Lytechinus pictus: one gene and its partners. The protein of the gene in region 1 binds, or shares a complex with, the protein of each later gene. Links are inferred from orthologs where the notes say so. Each region holds a gene or a part of one and is shown in the gene's direction. Other genes may lie near its edges.

The links.
Region 2: transcription initiation factor TFIID subunit 5-like (region 1) and transcription initiation factor TFIID subunit 8-like share a complex: the UniProt entries of both Homo sapiens proteins name them as parts of the TFIID basal transcription factor complex. The link is inferred for Lytechinus pictus from reciprocal best matches to the Homo sapiens genes TAF5 and TAF8.
Region 3: transcription initiation factor TFIID subunit 5-like (region 1) and transcription initiation factor TFIID subunit 3-like share a complex: the UniProt entries of both Homo sapiens proteins name them as parts of the TFIID basal transcription factor complex. The link is inferred for Lytechinus pictus from reciprocal best matches to the Homo sapiens genes TAF5 and TAF3.
Region 4: transcription initiation factor TFIID subunit 5-like (region 1) and transcription initiation factor TFIID subunit 13-like share a complex: the UniProt entries of both Homo sapiens proteins name them as parts of the TFIID basal transcription factor complex. The link is inferred for Lytechinus pictus from reciprocal best matches to the Homo sapiens genes TAF5 and TAF13.

What each region holds. Positions count from the first base shown.
Region 1 is NC_087245.1:16,414,843-16,421,847, reverse strand, and holds the start of transcription initiation factor TFIID subunit 5-like, read left to right. Parts: upstream 1-4,005; 5' UTR 4,006-4,010; coding exon 4,011-4,181; intron 4,182-7,005. UniProt on the Homo sapiens protein: The TFIID basal transcription factor complex plays a major role in the initiation of RNA polymerase II (Pol II)-dependent transcription.
Region 2 is NC_087250.1:981,338-989,269, forward strand, and holds the start of transcription initiation factor TFIID subunit 8-like, read left to right. Parts: upstream 1-4,915; 5' UTR 4,916-5,041; intron 5,042-5,397; exon of another isoform or gene 5,398-5,790; intron 5,791-7,932. UniProt on the Homo sapiens protein: The TFIID basal transcription factor complex plays a major role in the initiation of RNA polymerase II (Pol II)-dependent transcription.
Region 3 is NC_087247.1:8,129,428-8,136,833, forward strand, and holds the start of transcription initiation factor TFIID subunit 3-like, read left to right. Parts: upstream 1-4,382; 5' UTR 4,383-4,485; intron 4,486-7,406. Other genes in the region: pre-rRNA-processing protein TSR2 homolog, read right to left, coding at 83-173, 4,281-4,373. UniProt on the Homo sapiens protein: The TFIID basal transcription factor complex plays a major role in the initiation of RNA polymerase II (Pol II)-dependent transcription.
Region 4 is NC_087248.1:14,443,986-14,451,672, forward strand, and holds the start of transcription initiation factor TFIID subunit 13-like, read left to right. Parts: upstream 1-4,669; 5' UTR 4,670-4,708; coding exon 4,709-4,747; intron 4,748-7,075; exon of another isoform or gene 7,076-7,185; coding exon of another isoform or gene 7,186-7,194; intron 7,195-7,687. UniProt on the Homo sapiens protein: The TFIID basal transcription factor complex plays a major role in the initiation of RNA polymerase II (Pol II)-dependent transcription.

The sequences.
Region 1 (7,005 bases):
TTGTGAATAGAGTAACCTGTCAAGAATTTGACAGGTTAAGTTTTTTTTTGGCACTATTTTTTTACTCTAAAATTTCATACAAATTTGCATCAATATAGGCCCATTTGCCTCTATTTCATGGCAATGTTTATTTTGACCAATCTCAATTTTCCATAAATTTTTTTAATGAATCACCACGTTTTGCGGCCACAATTCAACAGCCCCCACCCTCTGTTCGACAAAACGCATCATGTGTGCAAGTGCCACCGAATTGCGCTGCACGTACCTCATGCGATATGCAACCCAAAAGTTGCAGCGGCCATTCACTCCCACACAACAATTGGACCCCATGTCGAATGGATGATTGCCATTATAGCATGCAGTCAACTCGATTACTGTGCAATCTCAACGTGGTTGGCTAGGCCCACAGCTGCAAATTGTATAGAACAGATAGCGTAGCGTTCACAGGGCCTGACCTTTACTTTTTTCTTAGGGAGCCAGCCGGGCTCCTCAAGCACTTTTTTAGGGAGCCCGCATGGGTTTTAAGGAGCCCAAGTTTATCCCTTTTTTTTGCATAATACTGGTCATTACCTATTAAAATATTAAAGCACACCATCACGATACCAGTTGTATTTATTCAGGGTAAATCAGATTTTGACACCCCAACACACTTAGACACCGGTCACAAACACATAAGTCAATGACTTTTTTTTTTCATTTTTAATGCCCCCCCCCCCTCAAAAAAAAATAATAAATTCAAAAAAGGAAACAAATTAAATACATAAACAAAATTGATTTTTTTTTTTCATGCTGAATCATGGATGTGGGTTGGTGTGTGTTTGTGTGGGTGTGACTGTGCGGTGGACTTGGATATACATGTATATGTTAAAGAAATTAATTCATCATCTAATTTTTACTCCAAATATTGTGTTTATATCAGTACAAAAACCACACAGGCTAAGTATGTCACATGTAGGCACATGTTACATGTACATGCATGTATACCCTAACTTTTCCTGCAGTTCTTTGAAAACGCAGATCTCCACGAAAATTGCATTTTTCTATAGGGGAGTCTAAATTTGGTGAAAAAGTATTCATCAATAACTTAAATATATATCACAATGAAGAAACCATCCAACTTTATTGGTAGTTTAAAAAAAAAAACCTGAAATGTAAACTCTATCTGAAACAGAAAATCACCATCATTGAGGCCTTTACTGACTGAATTGTCCCCCAGAGCTCAGGCAGAGAGAGAGAGCTCCGACTTGCACAAGTGTCAGTGCGTGCGTGAGTAAAATCCGGCGTCCTCCTAAAATCAGATGTTGCCATGTTTGATGATTTACTGTCTGATATTTACCCCCTCCCTTGAAAAAATGAAACAAATGATTTTTCAGGAATAATTCACTACCGAGGTAAGTTATTTTGGATGTTAATAGGCGCCCTTTTGACAAGCAGAGCCGATGTCTACATGACACAGAATCGTGATATCTCTAAGGGAAATGTGTGCATTGAAAATTACACACGGCGTAAATGATAATGGACCCCTGTACATGCAACTGTTTCTCGCACCGGTGTAGCACGATTCTTTTTTCCATAGGTACCATGTGTGTGGAAAAACGTGGTACAGAAAAAAAGACGCAGCTAAGCAATTTGAAACTCGCTATTTTCGCTATTTTCAAGGTTTTTTATGATTTTGAAAACATAATTTAGACTTATAAAGCGTGGATTAGTGTGCTGGTAAGAAATTGCTTTTTTGGTGGCTGATACTAGAAAATCTTAGGGAGCCCACCGGGCTTTTTCAATTACTTTCTAAGGAGCCCGCAGAGGTTTTAGGGAGCCTTTTGCCACCGGGCTCCCGCTAAAATCGAGCCCTGGTTCAACGCTAGCGGGCATGTACATTTTGCTTATTACATGACGTCATCCAGCCACTGCAGAGAGCCAATTTATGAATGAAAATATAGCAAGCCTTCCATTACCCCACACAGTATTCCAAAAAGTGTGTGCAGTAAATCGACCTAGAATTTAACTTTCCTATATTTAAGATGAATATCTCGGAGGATCTACATGGATTTTCTTGCCAATACTGCACAGGTAAGCGAATTTCGATTACTTCCTGCTTTTCAGTCAAAGCTTACAAATTAGCCTCGATATGACATTGTGTTAGTTGGAGTTTGTAGTCTATCGAAACGTGCACAAAGTCACAATTGATTTCCGGGTTTCGGAGCATCTCGTGAATATGCATGAAATTGCCGAGTCTTGATAATTTTCAATCAATGCTGGAGCGATCCGATCACGAACCAAGACCAATTCCGGCGTAGACAATGTGACTAGATATCTTATCGTTATCGATACTTTCGCAGTCCGAGGCATAATTTTGGCGACCACGTAGTCATGACGTGATCTGCGCGATTGACCAATCAGCGGTCTCTGATTCGCTGTCGGGGACGGTCTATCCGTATTACACAGTCTCTGGACAATTTGCCACTGTGAGGCCCTTTTTCCTTAGTTTTTCAGTTCTTTCTTTTTTAAGTTATTTTCAAAATACAATCCTAAATTTGCGAGCTTGTAAGTGAACTTACAAGTCATTAAGTCATTCTTAACAACAGATTTTGGTCTGTTCGATTTTTAGAAATTTTTTAATCAGTGGACCCGCTTCTCAAATTTGAGCCAAGCTCTGGAAATGGCTCAGATTCTGTATTTTAAGGGAAAATTTTGACTTTTTGAAGGGTAGGCCTATTTTGGAGTTCACATCAGAAATCGATTGCACGTGGCGAGTTAGACCAAAAGCTTCGGTCTCTGTTACATGTATGTTGGCTGTTCCGCTGAACTCCGTTGGCTCCACTCACCACATACAGAGACCGGAAGTTCAACTTCTAGCTCAATCTGTACAAGGACTCAATGGCCATATGTTTATGTATTTAATAAGTTCGGATAAGACAGGGAAGTGAAGTTGCGCGACAGCTGAAATCACTGTTTTTCCCTTTTAAGTTTATTTTTCCCTGTTTTGGTGCATTTCAGGCCAAAATAGAATATTTTTTATTTTGGTAGCCTAGTTCTTTTTAAATATTATGTTTATGAAATGAAGTCAAAAATCGATGAGCCCCGTCGGAGGGATTTTGCATTGTTAACCCCCTGCTGCATGATACTTGATAGCGAGCCGTCCGTGTAGGCCCTAGGGCTAGGCCTACCCTACGAGAAAAAATAAAAATGTTGAAAAACTCCTCGACCAGTGTGCCCGTGTCATGCGCAATTGAACGTGCTGGCTTATCATGAAATGACTTTGGCTTGCATGTCGAATTCAATTTCAAAACACGTTACCATACTTACGCCGTCACGGTACCCCATCCCCCCCCCCCCCCCCCCGAAAAAAATATTTTGAATTCAAACACTCCCAGTCGAATGGTGAAAAGGGGTACCCAATCTCCCCAATTTGCAATTGATCTGACTGAAGTGAAAGAAAATACATAAGATTCTAATCTGGGCTTTATTTCACATTCGGCACATACACTCGCTCCAGTCTCTCAGGCTCAGCAAATAGCACACCTCAGCTCCACCGCGCTGTAGGCCTAGGCCTACAGTCACTCTAATTCACCACACATCACCTCGTTACGCAGATCAACACGCACCAATTTACACATATAAATAAATGTTTCGAATAAATCTCACCTTATCCCTCATCCTCTAATTATACGTATTAAAACTTCTTTTATAGGTACTGGAAGTTTGAGGTGCTGATTATCCTTCAAAAGAAGGATTTAAACAGATTTGGGAAGCACCGCAGTTGACGAGTGTCAACTGTGAGCGATGCCTAGATAAAGAGAGAGCGTATTGGTTGTAAGTTGCCGATTTAAGAAAAAGAAACACAAACAACACATCATGCGTTCGATGATAAAATCCATCAAAGAATTTTCACATAACCGATACAAATTAATTGTTTTCTTAAGGCAAATAACTTTTAAATGTATTCATGTATATCCATTTATTTCTATTCCATCCTCGAAAATTTTTTTTTTTAAATTTGTTATCAACTTATGTTACCAAAAATGGCGGAACCCATGGAAGAATTAGAGCAAGATTTACTTTGCGAAAAACCTGCTGATACCAATGCTATTGAGGGAAATGAGGAATCGACCGGTCAGCAATCGATGGATAGTCAGACCTTGTCTGCAGTTTTACAGTTCTTGAGGAAAAATAACCTGAAAGTGAGTTCCAGGGTGTCCACCTTTGCACTTGCAGAGATAAAAATCTGTGCTGCAGTGCATTGCCCGTCCCCATGCATAAATATCTGTGTGTGTGTGTGTTTGTTTAACTTTTTTTTTAACTTCAACACAAAAAAAGTTTGTCTGTCTAACTCTAAGTTACATCTGTTTAGCTAATCATTACATTAGACTTGATATGGATTGGATCAAGATATAACTATGGTGTCTGAAGCCACACTGAAAAGTGTCAGCATAAAACAGGCTGATTATTTTAGGGCAAAATACCGGTATGGCACATTTTTGGGGGGAAGTTCAGGCCACTCTAGGCGACACCCCAACTAATAAACTGGGACTCCACTCACGCGCATTTGGGCCGCCCTAGCTTAGAACTAAGCAATATTATCTAGAAATTGTTAGGCCTACATTGTAGTCATTAAATATGTTCTATTAAATAAATTGATAATGTTTAATCGGTACTCACCGGTTCTTTTGTTGCATTTTCAGACCATTTCTCACAATTCTTCGAAAATATTTGCGGCAAATTTTGTCGCCATAGACAGCTTAGCATCCATCTTTATTGATAAATGGAGCGCCCTTTACGATAGTTGTTAATGCCGCGGAGAAATCGTTAGGCATTTTGGCCTGTGTTCAAGGCGTTCTTTCTGTTTTATTTTTTATATTGAAGATTGTGCATTTGTTGAATAGCGCCGTCTACGTCAGGTATGAGATCGAGTGTATAAATAAACTCTTCCAAAATAATTATGATTGCGACCTGGCGCTGTTTAACTTCAATCTCTTTCACCTAAATTAGCGATGAATGCTAGCATTATAAAATATATATTATTAACGTCTGACGAAAAGAATAACCAACCGATCAGCTGCCGAGAACGCGAATCACGTGATCTTCATATCAGCTTCGATCGCGAGTCAGAAGAGAAGAGCAGCTGCCCAGAAAATCAGGAAAAAGCCGTGAAAATGTAAGTTCCCCTTCATTTCTTTCATTTTTTGTTGTTGCTAACGATGCATTTACACTATAAAATTATAATTTAAATAAGAGAAAGGAATATAGCTTGTACTTGTGATATAATATATAAATATCCTGTTCTCAGAGATTTCTAACCAAAAATACTACTGATGTCGCCTATGAGGTCCATACATGTAATGTTGGACCTCATTGGTACTAGGAGTGGTTCAGGCTACTATTTAGTACTAACACTCTAGGCGACACCCCAATACTTACCCGTGTTAATAAATAATAGACTGGGACTCCACTCACGCACATTTGGGCCGCCCTAGCTTGGAACTAAGCATCAATATCAATTTAAAATATATATCTACAAGTTATGTATAACCTATTTACTACTTTGATAATGTTTAATCGGTACTCACCAGTTCTTTTGATGTATTTTCTCAAGAATTTCCACGGATTTGTCCCAAATCTTGCGACAAACCACGTCGCGGTAGACAGCTGTACATTCTTTTTTATTTATAAATAGAGCGCCCCTTACGATAGTTGTTAAGAACGCGGCCAAATTGTTAGGTTTTTTGCACTGTGTCCAAGGCGTTTTTATTTTGTTTGATTTTTTATTTTTTAATAAATATTTTGTTAAATAGCGATTTTTACGTCAAATATTAAATTCATATCACAAAATATTTTTAATTGTAGAAATATATATAATATCATGCAATTATTTATTCTATATATATTTTATAATAGAATTTATAATTGTTGCGGTCTTTAAAAAAGGATAGTCGATCGATTAGGTGATGACTACTCGTATCACGTGATCTGAAAATCAGCTTCGTACCGCTTTGATCGCACTCGACGGGACCGGACTGACTGCCAAGAAAAGATTGAAAAAGGACTCAAATGTAAGTTTCCCTTTATTTTATAACATTTAAAGTATGAGAAGGATTATAGTTAATGGGCAATTTTTTAATAAATGCTAAACAAATGAGGACAAAGCTTGCATTTTTCGAGTAATAATCACTAATATCATAAAAATACTTGGGTGCAGGACTTCTAACCTGTTTTTAACGCATTGTCGCCTATGAGGTCCATACATGTTAATGTTTGGACCTCATTGGTACTAGGAGTGGCTACTAATAGAAAAATGTGATCTGAATTGATTATTAACTTGTGAAGTTGTGTTTGGCATGTATGGAAAGAGAAAATTCAGGGGCTTCTTTTGACAGTAAGGACAAGTTTATATGATCATTTTAAATAAGGATTTAGAGATATAAATTTCAAACCCTTATTTTTGTGTGTGTTGAGATTGCCATTTCTCCATGCGTTTTCTATGGGAATATGAAATTTCTGTTTTGCACAATTTTTTTCACTTTGTCGCAATTTTTCATGGTGATCTGGTTTCCAAATCTATATAAAAATCGTACCATCAGATAGAGCATAAAAAATCCTATTGGACTCTTTATGGACAAGTTTTTGGCATTAATAATAAATTTATAACAGCTCTCGGAAGCTAAAAATTTGTGTGTGTCCATTTCTTAACTACACAGTCTATGGCAGAGAAATTCTGAAAATTGACCTAATTTCATTCTTCTCTTTTGCAGCCAATAATTGGATTTTTACATTTCTGTCAGTCTGAAGGTCATTTCTCTTCAAATCCACAAAGAAAATGTGATATTTTCTTGAAATAAGAAAAATAATTTTTTTCTCCAGACACCCTAATATAACGTTGGGCTCAAGTCTCAGCTCATCTATCTTTAGTTTTCAGTTAATTGATGGCCTGGGCTGGGCTGTCAGCACTCACACTAATACGAGGTTAGGGGGGGGGCACTCAGTATATAATGCATAGTGGGTATTAGA
Region 2 (7,932 bases), on another chromosome or scaffold:
CCCTCTGTTTTTATGGATCTCTCTTTCTCTATCTCTCTCAAACCTACCCTGCTATTGTGGTTAACAAAATAGTTCTATGGAGTGGGATTTTACTCAATTAGCTGCTCATTGGCTTTAAATGGTTTAATGCTAAAAACGCAACATGACAAAGATACATGTAGGCTGATAACAATATAACATTTTAAAAATATAATATTCATTGATGTTATTGAATGCAGTACTTTCTCTCTCTCCCCTCTCCACTTTGTTTCAGCCTGTCTTGTTCTCTGTGATTTTCTTCTTTCACATTTTTTGCCTTTGAGCTTCAAATAATTTTTTTTCTATATTGTTTGGTTCTGGCGTTCTATTCATTCATGTGGTTTTACTCTAATGAGTGCATGCTGGAAAGCTTCAGTATGTTTGTTTTTAATGCTTCCAATTCTGCAGTACCAAGCAATTAATCAAATGATTTCTTGCTGTTTTCTTGTAGATAGTATGGTATTACATTATCTTGCCTTATGTCATTTGAGTGGACAATTTTTTTTTTCTTGTCATAATTTATTCTAAAGGTCATTGAGGTCATGGTCAAGGATGCCCTTGTCTGATTGACCCTATCTATGTCCTTGGAGATTAATTCTGTCCATCATAATTTTCTTATTTGTTCTGTAATATAGAATGTTCCCTCTAGTAATGTGGCTTTGTTTAAAAAATAATGACATTTGAGGCATGGTATGAATGGGGAAACTAAAGGTGTAAGTGAATCAATTGTAACTGTAATAGGACAACAGGGTTTCAGAATAGGTTCATCATGTAACAGGTTTCTGGGATCAATCTAAAGGTGTTGTGTAAACTTCCTAGTGTAAACTCAGCTTGTGGATGGCATTAATCACCTTTACACTACACCTTAGGTTTATGTGATCAATCTAAAGGTGCGGTGTAAACTACTTAGTGTAAACCCAGCTTGTGGATGGCATTAATCACCTTTACACTACACCTTAGGTTTATGTGATCAATCTAAAGGTGTTGTGTAAACTTCCTAGTGTAAACTCAGCTTGTGGATGGCATTAATCACCTTTACACTACACCTTAGGTTTATGTGATTAATCTAAAGGTGCGGTGTAAACTAATTAGTGTAAACTCAGCTTGTGGATGGCATTAATCACCTTGACACTACACCTTAGGTTTATGTGATCAATCTAAAGGTGCGGTGTAAACTACTTAGTGTAAACCCAGCTTGTGGATGGCATTAATCACCTTTACACTACACCTTCGGTTTATGTGATCAATCTAAAGGTGCGGTGTAAACTACTTAGTGTAAACCCAGCTTGTGGATGGCATTAATCACCTTTACACTACACCTTTGGTTTATGTGATCAATCTAAAGGTGCGGTGTAAACTAATTAGTGTAAACCCAGCTTGTGGATGGCATTAATCACCTTTACACTACACCTTAGGCTTATGTGATCAATATAAAGGTACAGTGTATAAAAGTAACCCAGCTTGTGGATGGCATTAAGACAATTTTACACTACACCTGTATTCAAACAATTTATGTGTTTTATAAATATATGTGCCACCAACATAATGAGGGACCTTGTTCAATCTACTTATTTTCCCTGTATTGACTAGTTGCCTTTCATGTATCAGAGGAAAAATATACAGAGGCTTAGGGCAATACAGCCCCCAAAATGATCAAAAGAAACTTAGAAACTATAAAAGGCTCTCGAAAATCCCCATTCATTGCAATGTTAAAACTTATCAAATGCCGCAAAATTAGGCTTCTTTTTTTTTTTTGCCTGACATGTATATCAAGCAATGTTTGTGAGAATTGAAAATTATTCAGAAATATTCAACTAAATGATGGCTCCTAAGCATGAGGTAGACTAAGGAATATCAATATACCTACAAGTGAGATCACAGGAAATCTGTAACAAAATGAGCCTGATGATTAATGCATGGCGATCAGGATGAAAGGAGAAGTTCACCCTGACAAAAACCTGCAAAAAATTGCAGAAAAAGGGATAAAAGATAGTGGTGAAGTTTTGAGGAAAATTCAATAAATATTAAGAAAGTTATTAGAATTTTAAGTTTTTGATTTGTGACGTCATATATACAAGCAGCTGCCCCCTATATGTTATGTAATATAAAATGCATAAATTTCAATGTTTTAATGGTTCATAATGAATAACTTTGTTCTTTTGGGAGCAGGTGTAATATAATTTGTCTGTTGATATACTGAAGACCTGTACAATAAAAAACATTTTCAATTTTTGAGAAAATGAAATTTCATTGATTTTTTAAATTCATGATACTTGGGAAGCTGCTCGCATATGACGTCACAAATATAAAATAATTGAAATTCAAATAACTTTAAGATCACTGATGGATTTCCCTCAAATCTTCAACAATATTTTTTTATTATTGTTTAGATTTTTACAATAAACCTTTTTGTCAGGATAAATGGTAATGGTAGTGATTGTTACCTGATTGCTGAGAAAGCATCAATGCTTGTAAGCAAAAACCAGAGGACCGATGACGTAAGGTCCTCTCTGAGGGACCTGGTAATGGGGATTGATGCCTTACCAAAGAGTACTAGCACACCAATTGGGAATCGAACCCCGGTCACCGAACCCCGCTCTACGGACTGAGCTATCGCGAGCTAACGTGAAAGCATGATATCACAATTGGGGCGCAATTTGTGAGCGTGACCGGCTAGGATTCTTTATACAAATCACTCTTGTAATTCCTATATTATAGATGGGGATCTGTGTTATTGAAAGAATTAACCTAAATTATTTATTTTTGTATTATGTGCTATAAGTCTTGTACATCAAATATTTTATAGATTTATTCACATATTTATTTCCATATATTGAAGTATTTCCATATTTATTATTTGTGATATTTGTCCACATGTCTGTTCAATTTTTTAATAAATGTATTCAATATGTCAAAAAAATGAACTTCCATATTGAATGTTAATTTATATGGATTTGACAACAAACATGCATGGTGCTTGTGAATTGACTACAACCAAACAAAGAGAAGTGTTTGCTTTAAAACCAAGCATCTCATTGAGAATATATTTTATTGTGATTTTTCACAATACAGCATGTTCCCCTAAAAATGTTAATGTCACTCTAGATGGGTATAATTTTAAAATTACAACATTATATTGTTTATATCTTTACACCTCTAAACTACAATTCATTTCCCAAAAGTGGATGATTTTTTTTCAGGGGCCGCGGAAGCTGATTGTGATTTTTTGTATGGTCAGCCCCCCCCCCCCCCCCCCTCACTTTGAAAACCGTTCCACGGCCCCTGTTTTTGTGATATGGTCCAATGATCACAAATATATGAGCATTTATTCATTAAACATCAGGAAACCTCTTCATCCAAGTTTTATATCAAGTAGTAAGTTTCAGCTAACAAGATTTTTGTGGTTCAAATTATGTCTATTCACGTTCAGCCACGGGTGTGAATCTGCAAGGATATTCTTTTGTTCAAGACTTTGTGATGACCTATTCATTCATCCCTTCTAATGAATAGATGAGATCAAGATAAGATCATGGATTACAAAATTTGTTGTTTTTTCTTTTAGGCCTATAATCAATCAATCAATTTTCATGTTTGATAAAAGATATCGTGCCAAGTTTCTCAAACCTCCATTAAAAAATAAATATAGGCCCGGAAGTTCTGCCCCAAATATCTATAAAAAACAGAGTGAATGAAGATATGATTGGACTACATACTTTTCTGAAAGAAGGCTCATATCTCTGTGTTCGATGGATCATATCACATAAAATTTAAGCCAGTTGCATATAACAAATGCCAATTTACGATTGTAGAATTATATACAAATATGACTTTGTAATTTTCACATTATACTCATTTAAAGTGTCATTAATATTTTTGTGGGACACGCTGTATATCTTGCAAGCTTTATCTTTTGCTTAGTGTGGAAACCATTAAGCTATATAACAAGAACAGGACAACAAAAGATTTTTAATGTGTGAGTTTGTCAAGAAGAAATTAACCTTCTTCTTCTTCTTCTGTTGATTTCCTCCAGTCCTGGAGAACTGCGAGATCCAGTGGATACGCAGAAAAAGTGGTTTGATAAATACATATAGAAACAAAAGAGCAAGGCTCAGGAGGAGATTGGAATAAAGTGTATCACCAGACTGTCTAGTTGTTGTTCACCAACAGAGAACGTTTAACATGAAGCTCATGCAAGAAATGAAGTTGGGGAGCTGAGGCAACAGATATACTAGTTCCATTAGTGTCCAATCCAAGAAGTACAACATTCGTAACAGCTGCTGCGACTTGCCATTGCAAGTAAAATCTGAGTTTGCTTGAACACAGCACACTTTTTTTTAATGAAAATATTATTTTGAAATTATATTTTAAGGCTTTTAACACATGACATTTGAAAATAAAATCTAGCTGCCTTTGATTTTGCTTGCATTTAAAATATATAAATGAGTGAATATTCATTCAATTTCCACAAAAAAAGAACGAATAAAAACCTGTAATGATTAAGAAAGGAATGTAATACCTACATTTATGTGTTATCATGATTTTAGACTATAGAAACTCACTCGATGCGCAAGAGAGGCAGATATAAGAGAGAATGGAGGGGGTTGGTCAAGAGAGAGAATGGAGATAAAGAGAACAGAGGGAGAGAAGTCCGCATGTGCATAAAATGCTTTCCCATCAAAGAATATAACACTTATGATGAAAAGAGTTATTTTGCATCACTTGCCAATGGTGGCACATAATGATATATGCATTTTGGTTAAAAAACAAAAGCAAAGAAATCTTGTCGTAGGCCTACGGATAGTCAAAGTAATATGTTTCAAATGAAATACCTCTTTTTCATTCAAATCCTGGATCCGCCGCTGATGTTTGGTTTTTTTTTTCCGTTCTTCTTTCTTTTTCCATTTTGACCTTTCGGCGACACGGTTTTGTCGGTACGGATAATATCGGAGGAGGCGAGATTTGTTATTTGGAGTCACTTTTATTAGTCTTTATTGTCAGCTTTCAGTCTGAAAGTATTCTAAAGGTAAGCCCATTGATTCCTCCTGTAATTTTTGCCTACGTTTAAGTTTATACCCCTTTCTGCAAGGCAGAGATCCCGCTGTAAGACTGGAGTGACGCATGACGATATTCCGATTATCTTACACAACAGTCCCATTCATTACAATTGCTGTTTGTAAATAAAAGAAACCACGTCTAAGTTTCTTGGGCTTGGCCACCCAAGTGTACATCATTACATGCCGCCGCGCACGGAAAAATTAAGCCATAGAAGTTGTGTGTTGTGTTAGTATACTACTAATAGTAATACTAACCTCGCAATACGTGTGAGTGGGGCTTGGCTTGCCTCATGCACTCACACTCGTGACACTATTCTCGTATCTGTCACCGACACCGTGTAGTGCAGTGTTAAATTGGCGAGATCAATATTAACAATTTCTACAAATACAATCAAACTTTTTATAAAATAAAAAAGACATGCACGGGAAAATCATATTATTGTGCCATACAAAATTATTACATTTGATTTTAAAACTTACATCGTGTACTTTGAGGTCCATAATTAATAATCCATTTTACAGAGACGATCTTGTCACTCGACACTCGTACATCCCCGAAAGAGTTGCCATCTTGAAAATATCGAGTTTCGTGAGATTTGACTTCCAGGTTTTATTTTCTCTCTCATTTCATCGCCATTCGATGAAACATCAAATTTCTTTCTTTGCGAACATGATTTCGAGTTCGAAAAGTTGTTTTGATGCTGGAAATACGAAACGGGTAAGCAAAATTGTGTTTTTTAAAGTGATTTTTTGTTTACATAATTCATGAGTATTTTCAATTTTTGTTCGGCCTTTATTTATCTTTTATTTCTCAGGCGACGTTTTCTTGACGCCAATTAAAGTATGAACTATGGAAGGTTTTTTCTTCGGGCGATGGTAATTTTCCGACTTCACAAATGTGTCGCATATCGCCCTCAAATCTTAAACGCAAGGTGATGTCGGACTAATGAGTCGTAATTTTTCTTGAGTTTGAGCGAGGATGAACTGGCATTAATAATGACCCTTTTGAAATTGTTTGATATGAATAACAATTCGTACCCCTAATGAATAAGAAATGTCGCATTGAACTTGTGCAATGATGAGGTGAATTGAAATAAATGGACCGCACGGATCGCCTATCGCGATCGAGCTCTGTGACTGTGTCGCTAGCTAGTGCATATGGGCAGCCAAAAGGGCCAAAATTAACAATCTCAAAAATTAAGAAACTCTCAGAAATAAATGTAGTATCCCAGTCTTTCAGAAATAAATGCAGCCTCTCAGACTCTCTCAGAAATGAATTATTTTTGTTATATCCCCGCAAAACTGTGATTGTGTTTATTTCCAAGAATTGTTTTTATTCCGTGAAAACATGATTCTGCAGTTGTCTTTATTTCTGTAGTTATCTTTACTTCTAGAGTTTTCTTATTTTTGACATTGTTTTATTTGCGAGGTCATCTTTATCTGAACGATGACATTTATTTGTAAAATATACTGCTATTTCAATTACAATATTTTTTTCTGAATGTGTCCTATAATTCTAAATCTTTATCTATGACTGACAAGATTTATTTCGGAGTTGTCTTTTATTTCTCAATTATATCCATTTCTGGTTAAATACATTTATTTCTGACTTATGTACTAGTCGTCCAAAGTAATGTATTAATTTCTGAATAATATATTTCTGAGATACTACATTTATTTCCGAGAGTTTCTTTATTTTTGAGATTGTTAATTTTGGCCCTTTTGGCTGCCCATAAGTGCAGTGGTCATGGCGCCAGTAGAACACGTAATCTACACGTGGCGTGTGTGTGTGCATGTACATGTGCACTCATCAGGTGTTAAGCCAAAGGAGACAAAGGGGGTATGTTAGCCCCCTCTTCAAATACAGTATATATTTTTTTTCAGCAAATGGGTTACATCAGGGATGGAAGGGGTATACCTCTTTTCAAACATAGTATTGACACGGGTGGATCTAGGATTTTCCAAGGGTGGGGGGGGCACATTTTCCCGAGGAAAAATTTGACCAAAAAAAGAAGAAATGTTTTCAACCAAAAATGAAGTACATTTCTTCTACAAAAAATCTGACAACCAAATAAAAGTCCTCACTTTCAAAGGGGGGGAGGGCACACTTGTGTTTTAAGTTTTAATAGCATTTTTACATATACAAATTTTAATTGTGCCTCTCAAGGGGGGGGGGGAGGGGCACGGGCTGGCTGCCCCCTTGACACCAGAGGTTAGTTACATGTACACCCCCCCACCCAATTTAAATGCATGCCCTGTACATGACCAGTGGAGGATCCAAAGGGGGGGGGGGCACATACTACCCACTCCTTGAGAGCCATTATCAAAAATTTTAATGTAAATAAATTCTGCTTTTACACGTGTAGCCTCCCCCCTTTCATTGGTGGCGGAAGCCAAAATATTTTTTTTTGGGGGGTCCACCTGAAAAAAAAAAAAGGTTATCAACCAAAATTTTAGGGAGCCACAAAAATGTTAGGGGGGGTCCACCTGAATCTAGGGGGGACCCAAGGAAAAAAATTGACAAGCAAAAAAAAAAAATGGTTATCAACAGAAAATTTAGGGGGGTCCGTTTTTTTTACTCCTCCCCCTTCATGCAGGTATATGTTGGACCCGCCTCTACTGCAGCCTTTGAACAAAAAAACTTACACAGTCATACAAATTCAAATTTTTCAAATTTAAGCTTATTGATATAAAATCCTGACATTGAAGGATCATCATCAAAAACAAAGAAACATAAGAAGAAAGAAAATAATAGAGTATTTATAAGCACAACATAGAACAACGAGGTACACACAACATACACAAAACCATATTTCATATTTTGCTCCGCCCCCCCCCCCCCCTCCTCACGCAGATACCT
Region 3 (7,406 bases), on another chromosome or scaffold:
TTCTTAGTTTGCATTTGCTGCAATGGGATTATCTTCATGGGGAAAAGAAAATGTTAATGAAATTTTCTTTTTTCATACTAACCATTTTCTAAAAACCAATTGTATACTGCATCTACCATCCATCTTGCTTTCTCCAAACTATCACGACCACCGAAACCGTGCCTTGCAGCCAGCTTGAATACAAGAAAGGAAGAACATTTGTAATGATCATTAATTTATGTCACATTTTTCTGCTATTACTAAATTCCAACTTGGTCTTGGCCTATTGATGGACTTCCTAGAATGCTACAAATTGTACACGTCGTACCATGAGGTAAAAACATAACAGTATTGGCCTCATAGGCGATAATAGCACATATACTGGGTGGTGCATTCATAGAAAGTTGGCACTTGGGGTAACACAAAAATGCACACAATGACGGCAACAAGGCTGTCGGCGGGTTGAATTGTCTAGCGATTTTATTTTCATTACCTCTTAGTTATGAACTTTTTTGAGTGAAATTAGTTATTTCTCGAGTGTTTGGGTAGCTATACAGGCAAATGAGAGCTATTATTTAATATTACAGATAAAAATTAACGCACACAGTAGCCAGGGCTCGACACTAGCGCCAGTCCGACGGTCCCAGACCGGTAAAAATCACTGTCGGGCCGGTAGATTTTCAGAAATAGCAAGATTTACTGGTCCGACAAGACCAGTAAGAAAATATCATTGTCGGGCCGGTAATTTTTCCCAAAATAGCAAGATTTATGGGTCCGACATAAACAGTAATAAAAACCATTGTTGGGCCAGTAACTTTTCCAGAAATGGTCAAATTCACTAGTCCAACATAAACATAAAAAATATTCCATGACTCAAATTGCAAACCATTTTCCTCCCGTTAAATTTGGTCATTCACACACAGAATACACACAGAATGAATCGCATGCAATTTTTACTAGGGTAACATACAGTGTACATATGGCTAGCCAGCCACACAGCCCACATGGTGAATTTTCTACTGGCTGCACGAACGAAGCTTGGCGAAGCTTGGCAAACCTCTGGCAGAAATCTCTCACAGAACGGTCAAAATTCACATTTCACACTAATGAAAAGCTCTTATAATGTCCATATTTCCAAAAAATTGGGGTAACTGTCATTTGTAAGCAGTAAAAGGAGAAATTTTCACTTCTGTTTTAGTTCAAAGAGATCGGGTTTCGAGTGATATCGTCTGAATACATGATAGCCCCACATATGCATTTGTGTGTGTGTTGATACACTTGGTTTCTTTCGTAGCTATATCTTAATTGAGCCAAAAAGAAACTGATAATTTATTTATGATAGTTTTAGCTTTCTTCCCATGTTTTCTTTCTATCTTTCTTTCCTTCTTTCTTTTCAATCTTTCTTTGTTTCTTCCCTCTCTTCTTTAATTTTTTTTGTTACTGTCTTTCTTTTTTAATTATTCTTTGTCTTTCGTTCTTTCATTCTTTCTGTCCTTTTAACATTTTTCTCTATTTCTTTTTCTCTTTCTTTTTTTATTTCTTTCTTTCTTTTATTCTTGAGTCCATCCATCCTATATTTATCTCTTCTTTCTTTCTTCCTTTCCTTCTTTTTACCCTTTCTTTCCTTCATTCTTTGTTTCTTTCTTCATTCCATCCATCCTTTCTTTACCATTTCTTGTTTTTTATTTCTTCCTTCTTTCAGCCCTTTCTCTCTTTCTTTCATTCATTCCTTCCTTTCTGTTCTTTCTTTTTTCCCTTCATTCCATCTATCCTTTTACCTTTTTTTTTTTTTTACTGTTTGCTTCCTTTCCTTTCTTCTTTCGTTCTTTTTTCCCTCATTCCTTCCTTTCTTTGTCTTTCGGTCTTTCTTTTTTTTCTTACTTTGATCTATTTTACATTTTCTTTCTTTTTTCTATTGCTTGCTTGCTTCCTTCCTTCTTTCCTTCTATCTATCACTTTACCTTTCTTTATTTCTTCCTTCTTTCAATACTTTCTTTCTTTTTTCCTTCTTTCCATCTCTCCTTTTACCCTTTCTTTCTTTTTTTTATTGCTTCTTTCCTTCTTTCTGTCTTTTGTTCTTTCTTTCTATATTGCTTGCTTCATTTCTTTCCTTCTTTCTTTCTTTCCTTCATTCCTTTATTTCTTCTTTTTCTTTTGTTCTTTCTTTATTTTTGTTCTTTCTTTCCTTCCTTCCTTTCCCTCTTCAGTTCTTTCTTTTTTTCCTTCCTTCACATTTACATGTATCCTTTCTTTACCCTTTTTCTTCCTTTCTTTCTTTCTTTCTTTCTTTCTTTCTATCTTTTTTCCTTCTTTCCATCTTTCCTTATACCCTTTCTTTCTTATTTTATTGCTTCTTTCCTTTTTCATTACTTTCTGTCTTTTGTTTTTTCTTTCTTTCCTTTTTTTCTTTTGTTCTTTCTTTCTTTCTTTCTTTTTTCCTTCCTTCACATCTATCCTTTCTTTACCTTTTATTTGTTCTTCCTTCCTTTCTTTTATTATTTCTTCCTTTGTTTCTTTTTGTCTTGCTTTCTTTTTGTCTTTCATTCCTTCATTTTTTTTTTTGGGGGGGGGGTAACAAGAAAGGACAGCAAAATAAACTCACGCCTTTTTTTAATGTTTTCTTTATTTTGGGGACCAGTAGATTTTAGGTTCGGACCAGTAAAAAATGGAAAAACTGGGTATCTACTGGTCCGACATGAATAGGTTGGACCAGTAGAAAAAAAGGGTTAGTGTGGAGCCCTGCAGTAGCAGTCCACAAGTTTGAAACAAATTAACAGCGCTGATGCAGTTTCGCTGCTTTCGCACCAGCAGCCAGCTTCGAGCAAATTTCGCACCAGAAATTGTTCGTAAATAGGCTATTGGTGCGTTGCAAGAAACTTGCGATCAATTCCCAAGTCTATTTTCGTTCCCGCAATCAAGCATATGCCATGCAATTAATTGTAAATTTGCGCTTGATTTTCTATCTGCTCCTTGAAACAAGTAGTGTAATCTGATTTGCTACAATTCATAGTGATCAAATAATTGTAAAATTGCAACAGAATATTTGCGATTGCAAACATTTTCTTGCAACACCCCTTTAGTCTCTCAGTCACATTTCAAGGTCAAAAGTAAATGGGTGACTAGACCAAAAGCTTCAGTCTCTGTATTTTGGTTGTTCCGCTGAACTACGTTGGCTCCACTCACCATACATAGACTGAAGGGGATGGGGCCCCGTACCTACAGCCAACGTATAGTGAACTAGCGTTTTATAGATCGCGATTTAAAACTGTTTTTTAAGCAAAATTGAAAGTTTCATGGTTTCCATTATCAGGGAAATATAAATAAATTAAGTAATTGCATACCTTGGGCCGGAGTTATTGAAAAAAATCCTCTGGATGATTGAGAAATCTGTCATCTAAGACATTTTCACCTGACCTGACGGTTTTTCTTGCAAGTTGCCATCTTGAATGACGTCATTATCGTTATTAACTTAATGTCTCGAATCGATATATCGCGATTATAACTAGTACTAGTACTAGTATAACTAGTATCGTTTATCTTCGGTTTCGATCGCATATGGAGCAGATCGTATAATATCGAAAGCAATATCGATATCACATTCGTGATTGTTGACGTTCGTTTGTAAATATTTTATAGTTTGGCTGCCATTTTGACCATTTTTATCGTGTTCAACCCAATTAAACATCGGTAAAGTATATTTTTCATGCCTTTTTCATCTATATCGTTTAAAGTATTTAAATATTAAAATATTAAATTTTAAAAGTTTGTTGTTTATACATCCTTAGATTGTAAATTCGATGTGTAAAATTACATCAAACTTTGGACTGTGAATTGACAAAAGGGAGGGAATGAGAACACATGCGAGCCCACACGTACACCCTACCGTCGGTAAATGGGGATTACAGTAAAATGTCAGAAATTGTTGAATAAATCCCCAGAAACGACGGTTATTCCTGTCTAATGGGTGACCTGCCCCAAGTAAATCTTTTGATCGCACCTTTTACGGCAAAGCCGTGTCTGAGAATTAACATCAAGATTGGAGCCGACAAACAGCCGTCCCCGACCGCGATAATTGGGGAAAGTGGTAGGCATTTTCTTCATTGACTTGTGACTGAGAAACTTTGACTTTTACATTAAGTTATGTTTAACAAACACGGATTACAATTTATGGGGCTTAACAAATTTTTAAGCAAACAGAGTTGGAGTAAGATTATAATGAACAGATCTAGGCTTTTTTCATCGATGTAAAAAATCTCCTAAATGGATTTTTCGCTTATATAAATTTAGATTTCTGTATTCACCTGTAAACCTGTCCATCCGTCAAATATAGATTGAATACTTTGGTGAAAAACAACAAGATGTTCTTTAGCTCCTGCGACAGCCATGCTTCTCATCAAACAAGCTCCCTCTGCGGTCGAGACCGTTATTGAAGCTTTTTTTTTCAGACGGGACGGAAAAAAGAGGCAAATGTAGACTTAGAAAGGATATCTTTTTCGATAATATGAGGTAATAATGTTCTAATTAATTACTTGCATGCCTTATGTGCTCCATAATTAACTTTAGCATTTGTAAAGTAAGTAGACCTAAGGCTAATAAATGATGGTGAGCGAGTGTATGTGTGAGAGACTGCAGACTGCAGTGACAGCTGGGGAATCTTACGGTACGGAGCTAGGTTGCTGCTGCCCGCCGGTGCTGCGGCGTGGCTCATCGATCGCAGCGGTGCTCGAGCTCTGAGCTCTGGCACCTTTTTTGCTAACCCAGAGAGCTCCCGCCCGCGCAGCGGGCGGGAGCCCAGAAGCTCACAGTGTATTCTACCATTGCCACCGAACAAGGGTGATTTATGGTCTAAATATTTCTCCAAATTAATTGTGAAAACAAAAAGTGTACAATTACCACGATTATATGGATGAAGGTCTAGCGAGTGGCAGATTCCTGACATCTGAGCACAGTCTGGAACCTCAAAAAAACCAAAAGTTCTCTCCTTCTACCCAGTCTCGATCGGCCATTTTGTTACGATTTTTAACAAAAATGGCCGATCGAGACGGGGTAGAAGGAGAGAACTTTTCGTTATTTTGAGGTTCCAGACTGTGCCCAGATGTCAGGAATCTGCCACTCGTTAGACCTTCATCCATATAATCGTGGTAATTGTATACTTTCTGTTTTCACAATTCATTTGGAGAAATATTTAGACCATAAATCACCCTAGTCCGGTGACAATGGTAAAATACACGGTAAGCTTCTGGGCTGCGCGGGCGGTAGCTCTCTGGGTTATATCAATACATGATTTGTCTTGGTTTATGTGGATATCCTTGTTTTCTGGGACAATCCCAATTTTTGGACCGGCGCCTCTACTGGCTGCTCTTTTAGACTTAAATGAGAGTTGAATGGCATCCACTTTTCAAAATTATGAATTGTCCAATGGATTATTATTTTGTGTTAGTGCATGGACAAAGCCAAAATGGATATTATGCAAAGCCGCTAGCTATGCCTATCTAACGTTAGACAGCTGGCAGCCGGCCGTCTGTTTTGAGGAGTTTTTTAACTTTTTTTTTATTTCTCCTCGTACACAGACGGCTCGCTATCGTGCAGCCACCATTAGGGGGTTAACAATGCAAAACACCCTGACGGGGCTCATCGATTTTTGTCTTTATTTCATGAGAATATATAAAAAGAACTGGACCAAAATAAAGATTATTATTCTGTGTTGGCCTTAAATGCACCAAAACAGGAAAAAATAACTTAAAAGGGGAAAAAACAGTGACTTACTTCGGCTGTCGCGCAACTCCCACTTCCCTGGTTGATCCGAACTTAATACATAAACATATATATGGCCATTGAGTCCCTGTACAGATCGAGTTAGAACTTCGGTCTCTGTAATTGGTGAGTTGAGCCAACGGAGTTCAGCGGAACAACCAACATAACAGAGGCCGAAGCTTTTGGTCTAATGCATATCATGCCTAGGCTATGCTCAGTAGAGGCGCAAGGCCAATATGGGAAGCTCCAAAATAGGAGATTGTCTCCCATATTGGAGACTTGCTTTGCAAAAGAATAAAAGAAAAAAAAAAAAAAAAGGTATTTTTTCCACCCAAAATATTGTCTCACTGAGGTCAGAAGCCCATTTGTTTTGTTTGTGGATGGCAACAAAAATCCTTATCAAAACAAAAATAGATGGTGTTTATTTAAAGTAGATGGTGAAAAGGGGTAATTTTTCATGAGGAATCTATCACATTTTTATTTGCCGCCAAGCTAATCCTTTTGCAGCAAATGTAAACAAAGGAAATTGGTCTCCCAAACTGGAGACTGTCTCTGAAATTGGATACCCAAATTCTTCACAAAAGTCTCTGATATCTCTCTAATAGGAGACAGTCTCCCATATTGGCTGTGCGCCTCTACTGATGCAAGTCAGTGATGCAGATTTTTTCTCTCACTTATAGGGACAGTGATATTCCGCGATCGCGGAAAATGGACGGAATTCACAGAATTGGCCTTTTGAAACGGAAAGTGGCATTTCAAACGGAAAATCACAGAAAACATATTTACCTCAGAATACACAGAACAGCAACAGAAATTACTCAAAAATCTCAACAAAATATGAATATTAAATGGCCACAAAACCTCACAAAAAACGAACTCACTTCACTACTAAGTATGACAATCCACACATCGTGACTGCTCTTGACTCCATCACACTAGATCATACCCCTCGCCCGCGCCACGGCGGCGGGGTAGGCCGTATCGAAAACATTCATATACACACAACGTTTGATTGAACAACGCGGTGTGTTGCTGCCCTCTACGTTTGAAGATGTAACAGTACGATAGTCCACACACAGAACGATAGTCCACACACACACACACATAGTCCAGTCTTGATATCCAAAATGGCGGATAGGCTGAAGTCGTTGACTGCTCAAAACGATGTCAAAAAAACCCCAAAATTATCGATTTCATTTCATTCAACCGTAAAATAATGCTAATAATGTGAAAGGTGAGGATGTATAGGGACAGTGATTTTCCGTTTCAAAAAATTGCCTTTTCCGTTTCAGAAAATCTCAAATTCCGTTTCAGCATGTCAGAAAACGGAAATTCCGTTTCCCCATAGACTTTGTACACACGGAAAACTGACAATTCCGTTTACACATTGAATAGCAAAATCACAACACGCACACTCGCACTGGTCAAAATTAGTATCTGCTACTGTACCAACAACACAATAAAATCCGTTCTAATCGGATCTATGCGGGTGCATAAAATATTTTTACACACCCATTTTGCATGTATACATCCTCACCTTTCATATTATTAGCATTATTTCACGGTGAAATGATATTTCATCGATAATTTGGGGGTTTTGGACATCGTTATCATCAGTCAACGGCTTTTGCCAATCCGCCATCTTGGATTTTAAGACCACGATATCGTGCTGT
Region 4 (7,687 bases), on another chromosome or scaffold:
TTAATAATAACTTTTTTCTGCTACCCTTTTTAACGTTCATATTCAATAAATCTTTACCAAAATATGTCTACAGTATGCGTCCCAGCAAGATCGAATTACCATTTTAAAAAATGACAGTTTAATTCCTTCAGTTTGATAATAATAATAATAATAATATAGGGTATTTATATTGCGCACATATCCACCTTGTTAGGTGCTCAAGGCGCTCCTATATTACCCGGCTAAGCTAGTTCATAGCGCACACAGCTTTTAAAGGAATTACTTCCTACCGGTACCCATTTACCTCACCTGGGTTGAGTGCAGCACATTGTGTATCAGTTTCTTGCTGAAGGAAATTACGCCATGGCTGGGATTTGAACCCACGACCCTCTGTTTCAAAGTCCGGAGACTAATCCACTGGGCCACAACGCTCCATAAAAGGGTGATAAAAGGGTATCATTATTATGATTATGCACCCGGGACCCCGGGCATAATAACAAGCGATACAGGTTCTTGGAGTTAAGCTCTCTTTGGGGGCGAAGGACCAAAAAGGCCCGACTAATACAAATCATAAACCATTTAGAATGCTCTGTGCAGAACAGTAATCATAAAATAAACTTAATGATACGCGAACCAAATGATTTATTGGTGTTGTGATGCCTTATGGATACATCAATTGATTAGGTGCTGAAATGTGATAACTATAAAAAAGCAAACATGATTACTGTAATAAATGAAAATAAATTTTCAAAAGACTGCTTTGTAATTAAATAAATCATAAAACACGCTTATGGGACAGTTTGGCAAAGAGCCATTTGGTAAAGATTTACAAGTACATGGGTGTGTGCATAATAATAAGCAATCGGTTTAAAACCTCAAGCTATCGGAAAATTGCAATGTCTTCCATGGGCGGAAATCTGTCCCCAAGGTAGGGGGGGCAGGGGCTGGAAAGTTTGACAAGCAAAAAAAAGGTTATCACCCAAATTGTAAGGTCGTTTTAACCCCCAAAAAAAATGTCAAGCAAAAAAAAAAAAAAAAGTTCCGCCCAAAATGTAAGGTCATTTTAGTAGAGAATACACGTAGGCCTATTATTTCGTTTGTGAATGATGTTATTTTTCTCCATCATAAAAAAAGGCAGGGGGACATTTGATATTGTGTCCCTCCTACTATTTTTGGTAGGGGTATATAACCAATTACATAGGAAACATTTTGCGTCTAGGTTAATCAGTCATAGTGGCTGATGTTATAGACGACAGATATCACTCTCGGGCCTTTTTATCAATGTAGAGACAATGGCAGAGTGGGGATTCGAACTCACAGTCCTGCGATTATGAGGCCAATGCTCTTATAAGTATAATGATATAAGTAAGTATAATAGTATAAAGGTATAAGTTAGATATGTTTAGCTAATATCATGTGAAGAACTCAATATATTGGCCTGCCTGGCAGATCAGATCACTGATCACTGGTTGAAACAAAAATATTCATCTGGGAAGTATAAAACTTTGTTGGGACAAGCTTTAATTTTGGGCGAGGTGTATCTCAGTAATTGGCCAGAATTCTGCGTATTATGACGTACGGGACGGTGAATCTTTTTCTGTTTGCATCGTTCATTGAAGAATCCTCATTCAATACAATACATTGTATCAATATCCAGATTTTAGTAAAGTGATTATGTTTTCATGATCTACTTCGCCAACTTGGGTTGGGTGACTATACGGAATGCCACCTTCACTGATCATACATCGGCCAAAGATGAAATTACATGTTTATGGCAGGAAACAACACTTGCAAAAAAAAACAAGAATGAAAACAAAAAAAGGGGAAACATACATGAATTAAATCTACCTCAATCTAGTAGAGAAATGACGAAGTTCATATTATTACTCGCCCGATTCCCAGGGCCATGTATAACTGTGGTTGTTCCAAATTAATGGGCCATTAAAGAAATAAATGTACAGTTCAAAGGACTTCGCAAACATTTGGATGAACTTTTATCTTGTAATCAGGGTAATATATATTTAATAGATGTCTCTCCATTGCTGTTCTATTGAAAAAGAGCAAATACTGACCTTGAACTTTAGAAGTTGTTGAACTCGGTATTCTAAAACTGGGAAAATGTTTGAAAATATACCCAAAGCAGTTACGCCTTCACAATGTACGTATTCAAGCCATCAATGCGAAATGATGTGTTTGCATTTTTATCTTTTACTTTGGGAATATTGAGACAGTCCTATCTTATGATATGCCATTCGCGAATTATTATATAATCATTAAAATATCTTTTGGGGGCAGATTTGCCTGTATGTTTGTGGCATAATAATGTGGGCACGATTATAAAAAAAAGTGCTTCTCTTTTTCCAGATTTATTCTATCGAAATCAGTTTAAGCTTCGCATTTGCGTTTTTGTTTAGTGAGCGACGAATCGTAATAGGTTTAAAAATGGAAATAAATTAAATATGTATACTCAAAAGTTTCAACTCCCATTCTCATTATTTGTGTTTAATGTGATATATTTTTCATGTTAAAATTATAAAAACATTACTGTTAGTTCTTTACTAGTTCAAAGGTCTTTTGATGGGGCAAGGGATGCTGTAACTTTTTATAAGCATATTATCGTCTTCACCAAAAAAATGTTTTTAAAACTGAGTATATGCTAAACTCTTATATATGCCTTGAAAATGCCTTAAAAATGCCTTAGGATTTCGAGGCTTCAAATCCTTGGGGCCATGGCCAAGGCAGACCGAGATATAGACGGAGAGCTGCAGTCTCTTTTCAGTCAGGTTTTCTTTTTTTTTCCACCTGACTAATCCCCCGCGCGCTTACAGCTTGCATACAGACCAGTCTTTCCACTAAGGAAATTACCCAAATTCCGGTTCAGTAATCCGGATCATCATTCAGGTAAGTTTCGGGTAAGTAAAAAATTCTAGGTAATTCCGTGTAATCCGAAAATTACAATTACACAACAATTAAATGGCGAAACTTTTAATATTTATGTTATCAAAGAATTGTTTACCTCGATACGAAGCCCAAAATTTTCCGCTCGCGCTCCGCGCTCGCATTTCGTCGATTTTGTTGAACAATTAATGTTATATCCTTTGATTTTGGTCACTTGGACTGAATATAGGCTGGCTGTATTATTGCCCGATTTTTGTTAAAAATCAAACTTGAAACTACCAAAAAATATTTCTGAATTTTTGGGGAATTTGGGATTCAGTTGTGGGGAAAATGTTTTAGATCTGAGGAGACACTGATGCAGACCATACAGGTGGATTATCCACGTCACCTCAATGACCATTTCAATGCTTTTTAGCCTTTATTCAGATAATATCACATTTTTCATACATATTTCATTTCATTTTCATAAATTAAATTTACAAAATGAAGTGAAGTACATGTATACAGCAATAGAACAAATGAAATATTATACATTGTGATATACATTTTTAACAAAGATTATCATAACCCATAATACTTACAAAAAAAAGTTCATTTCTCTTGTATTTACTGTATAATAATGCGGTATTGTATGATGAAAAAATCCAAACAGAAAGACTTTTCAAGTTCTGAGCAGATAATAAAATTGATACCGTATATAAAATAATTTGTTTATAGAGATGTGAATTATATAGGCTATCCCATAATAAAATATATATATTTATACCTCTATATTTTGCAAGACAATACAAAAAAATAAGTGCCTACGTTGATACTTGGAAAGTGTACAACAATCTGAATAAAGATTTTATACATTAAACATACACAAAAACAGAACAAACATATGATGCAGACCTATGTTGCAGCAAGGCCCTATATATGAAGAGCTCACTTGCATAAGGGGTTAGGTCAATTTTTCATCAAATTTGATTTTTTTTCCTTTTCTTTTCTTTTTTTTTTTTTTTTGTCTCAATGTATATATAGATTTTTAGTAGCTCTATAAGATCATACCAAAGGAAAGTTGAAATTCCCATTAAGAACTGAAATAAAATGGCCAATAAAAATCACCTTTTTTCAAAAGGGGTTAGGTCCATTTTAGTTTGGTTGCAAAAGGGGTTAGGTCCACAGAGATTTTTTTTGGAAAAAAAAATATTTTTAAAAATGTGAAGACAGGTAGATTTCTTTCATACCCAATTTTATGTTCTCATGGTAGGGTATCATGAAATTAAGTTTCGCCGAACAATATTGCAATATGGGAGAATTAAAAAATGATTTTTTAGTTGGAGTGGACCTAACCCCTTTTGCAACCAAACTTTTCTGAAGAGCTCATTTTTCAAAAGGGGTTAGGTCCATTTTTTTTTTAATATAAATTTTATTATTTTCTGTCTCAAAACCTCTAAATTTTAAGTCGATCTGATGATACTAAAGAAAATTTGAAATTTAAATAAAAAACGTGAATAAAAAGTGTCAATGCAAAATCACTTTTAATCAAAAGAGATTGGATTCATTTCAGTTTGCTTGCAAAAGGGGTTAGGTCCACAATTTTTTTTTTTTTTTAATATATAGAAAAAAAATTGGGGACAGGTAGATTTCTTTTATACCAAATTTTATATTCATATGAAAGGGTAGTACATTATGATAATTTAGTTTCTCATAAGAATATTAAAATAAGTGAGAATAAAAAACTTGTTTTTCTCGGAATGATCCAAACCTCTTTTGCAACCAAACTCTTCATATCGTATCTCTGTGTGTGTTGCAGTTACACACGCCCTCTATCGTCATTTTTACAATAATGGCTGAATCTTCAAGCGCTGCTGCTTCCAATTCAGAGGTTTGTTTTTCGTTTTGTCACAATGATAGTGCACTATTTACTATAATCTTTTGCGCATTTATTTATGTAAGATGTATTTCTATATTTCAGGGTAAAAGTATTTCGTATTGTTACTTTGGGAGGTCGGTAACGGTAATGAAGTTAACAAGTTATATTTTATTGTATGTCCCGTATGCTGCAAAATTTGTTGGGTTTTGTACTTTTGTTGCCAACAATGTTGGATTTTGTACTAGTCACTAGTAGTAGTACTCACTGTACGATCCATGATATTTCTATATATATTTCAGGATCAAAGTATTTCATATTGTTACTTTGGGAGGTTGGTAACGGTAATGAAGTTAACAATTATACTTTATCGTATGTCCCGTAGGCTGCAAGGTTTGTTCATTTTGTTGGATTTTGTACGATCCATGCAAATCATGATATTTATAGGCCGATGCAAGTTTTTTTTTATCCAAGTCACTCATTCAATGAACAAGGTTATGATATAACCTTGTTCTCAGTTATATCTCCATGTGTGGCAAAATAAGGGTGGCAATGTTTGGCTTATTTTCTCTTTTTCTTTGGGACAAATGCTTGATTTTTTTACACTGACAGTTTCCATTAGGGCCTACACCTATTCGTCATACAACTTGGTTCTCTTATTAAATTTGATTCTTTAAATTATTTTTTTCTTAATTAAAAATAGAGATTAAAAAAATAAAATTTTCTTGCCATATTACTTTCTACCAATAGAGGGCGTACACAAAAATATGCCCGAAATTCAAGTTTTTGAGCGCTCTAGTGAATACAAAAATTATTCCCCAGTTACTAATGAAAAATAAATTGCAACTGTATGGAAATTAGTAATTTTGGTCTCAAAAGTGATATTTTAATGATTTTTTAAAGTACGCGCGACCCACTAGTTAGGAATCCACTGCCAAACGCGGTTCATGGTGCGAGGTTAGTATAACTTCGCAATACATTTGAGTGAGACTTTCATTGTGTTGACCAAGTGTAAAATGATCAACGATCGTTTTTGATTAAAATGTTGCAACATCCTGAAAGTCTCCTGATGACATTTTTGATAATCCTTTTTAGACTCGGGATAATTGCAGACCACTGACTCGACTGAAATAAATACAAATGTCTCAAATTGAGCTCTAAATTTATATGAATGATGATGTAAATTATTGTTAAATTATTACGATTTAATAAAATTTTAAGGCCATACTAAAAATATTGGTAATGTCAGCAAAGTTATGTTAAGTTGGAATATGGAAGTACTCCGGACGTCTCCGAGATAAAGAAGTACATCGCGCATGCGCGATTGATAACATAATTTTTCATTCATGAATAACTTACTCTGCTATGTCATGTAAAATTGTATTCTATAATGATATTACGATCGTGAGAAGAGTTTCTGCAACGACGATGTTTGAAAATCAATCCTGACATGATATAATTTTATTTAGACAAGTGCACCCATCACTCGTTACGGAATTCGTGATGTCCGTCATTAAAAATGGAAACGTAATACAAATTGAATTGAATTACATCAAACTCTAAATTCATATTAATGATTATCATTCGCAAATTATTGTTAAAATATTAAGATTGAATAATGTTCTATGGTCATGATAAGAAATATTGTTAATGAACGCAAGATTTATTTTACGTTGATCCCGGCGTTGATTTTCCTTTCAGAACAATTTAGATCTGGTTTGATTAAAGCACAATGCGCATGTGCGATCGATGACTATAAATTCCATTCATGAATTCATCGCACAAATTATCTCGGCACGAAAAGACGAGTGAGACTCGAATTAGGATCAAAATAAACTTCAAATTAATGGTGAATAGGCATCATAATTATACATGGTTTCATTTTAGGGAAATAGAAATCGAGTAATAGCTATTAAGGCGCGGCAAAAAGCACATAGCTTGTTTTATCAATCATAACGTCACTGCATCGTATGTAAACTTCGTGAACGCCCACGCCCCAGGTGGGCCCAAGACAGATTTCATTCATAAAAAACTGTGAGTGAAATTCTAGCGCAAATACAGAACCTCAAGGGTGGGTATGAAAGTGGAATTTTAGTTATTAATACTTGTGCAGCGTCTGAGAACTTGGAATCAATGTGAGGCTGTCAGCATGGTAATAGAATTGTGTTCAATTAAGTAATTGTTCACTTGTTTACAACTCCCACGCAAGTTTTATACAGATGTACACGGTGATGGAATTCAGTACACATGCACTGACTTGACCGGGCGTGTACATGTGTACCCAAAACGGGCCTAATATAGAAGGCAGCACACGGCCTTTTGTTGCTGCCCTCTACGTTCGAAGATGTACAGCACGAAATCAAAATGGCAGATAGGCAAAAGATGTTGACTGCTCAGAATGATGTCCAAAAAGCCCCAAATTTATCGATAAAACTTCATCCAACCCTAAAATAATGCAAAAGGTGAGGATGTATTTATGCTAAATATGTTTGTGTAAAGATGTTATGTAACCATTTACATCCGATGAACACGGATTTTAAAGCATTCTTGGTACAGTGGCTGTACCTTGGAGAAAGCTATGGCTGGTCCGAAGTCGTGGTCAATCTTGACCACCGCAATTGCCATCGGCCAGTTTTCATAACAAAGGGAATAACCATCAGTCCTGTTAATATGATATGTATGGATTAAAATAGCTTGTGCAAAATAGTTGCAGGGTGGAAAAAAACCCTTAAGCGGCCGCACACTGGTGCAGATACTCTACATATGTATACCAACTCGAGTAATGCGCCCGTAATTTGATATGACACATGTGCCTCGAATCGATCTCGATTCAACATGTCAAACTTATTTCACATGCAAGCAGTCAATCCCGACAACACACACTAAAGCTGTACCCTTCTGGACAATAGGCTAAGTCAGTGATAACATCTAATTAATGCCATCAACACATGCGGG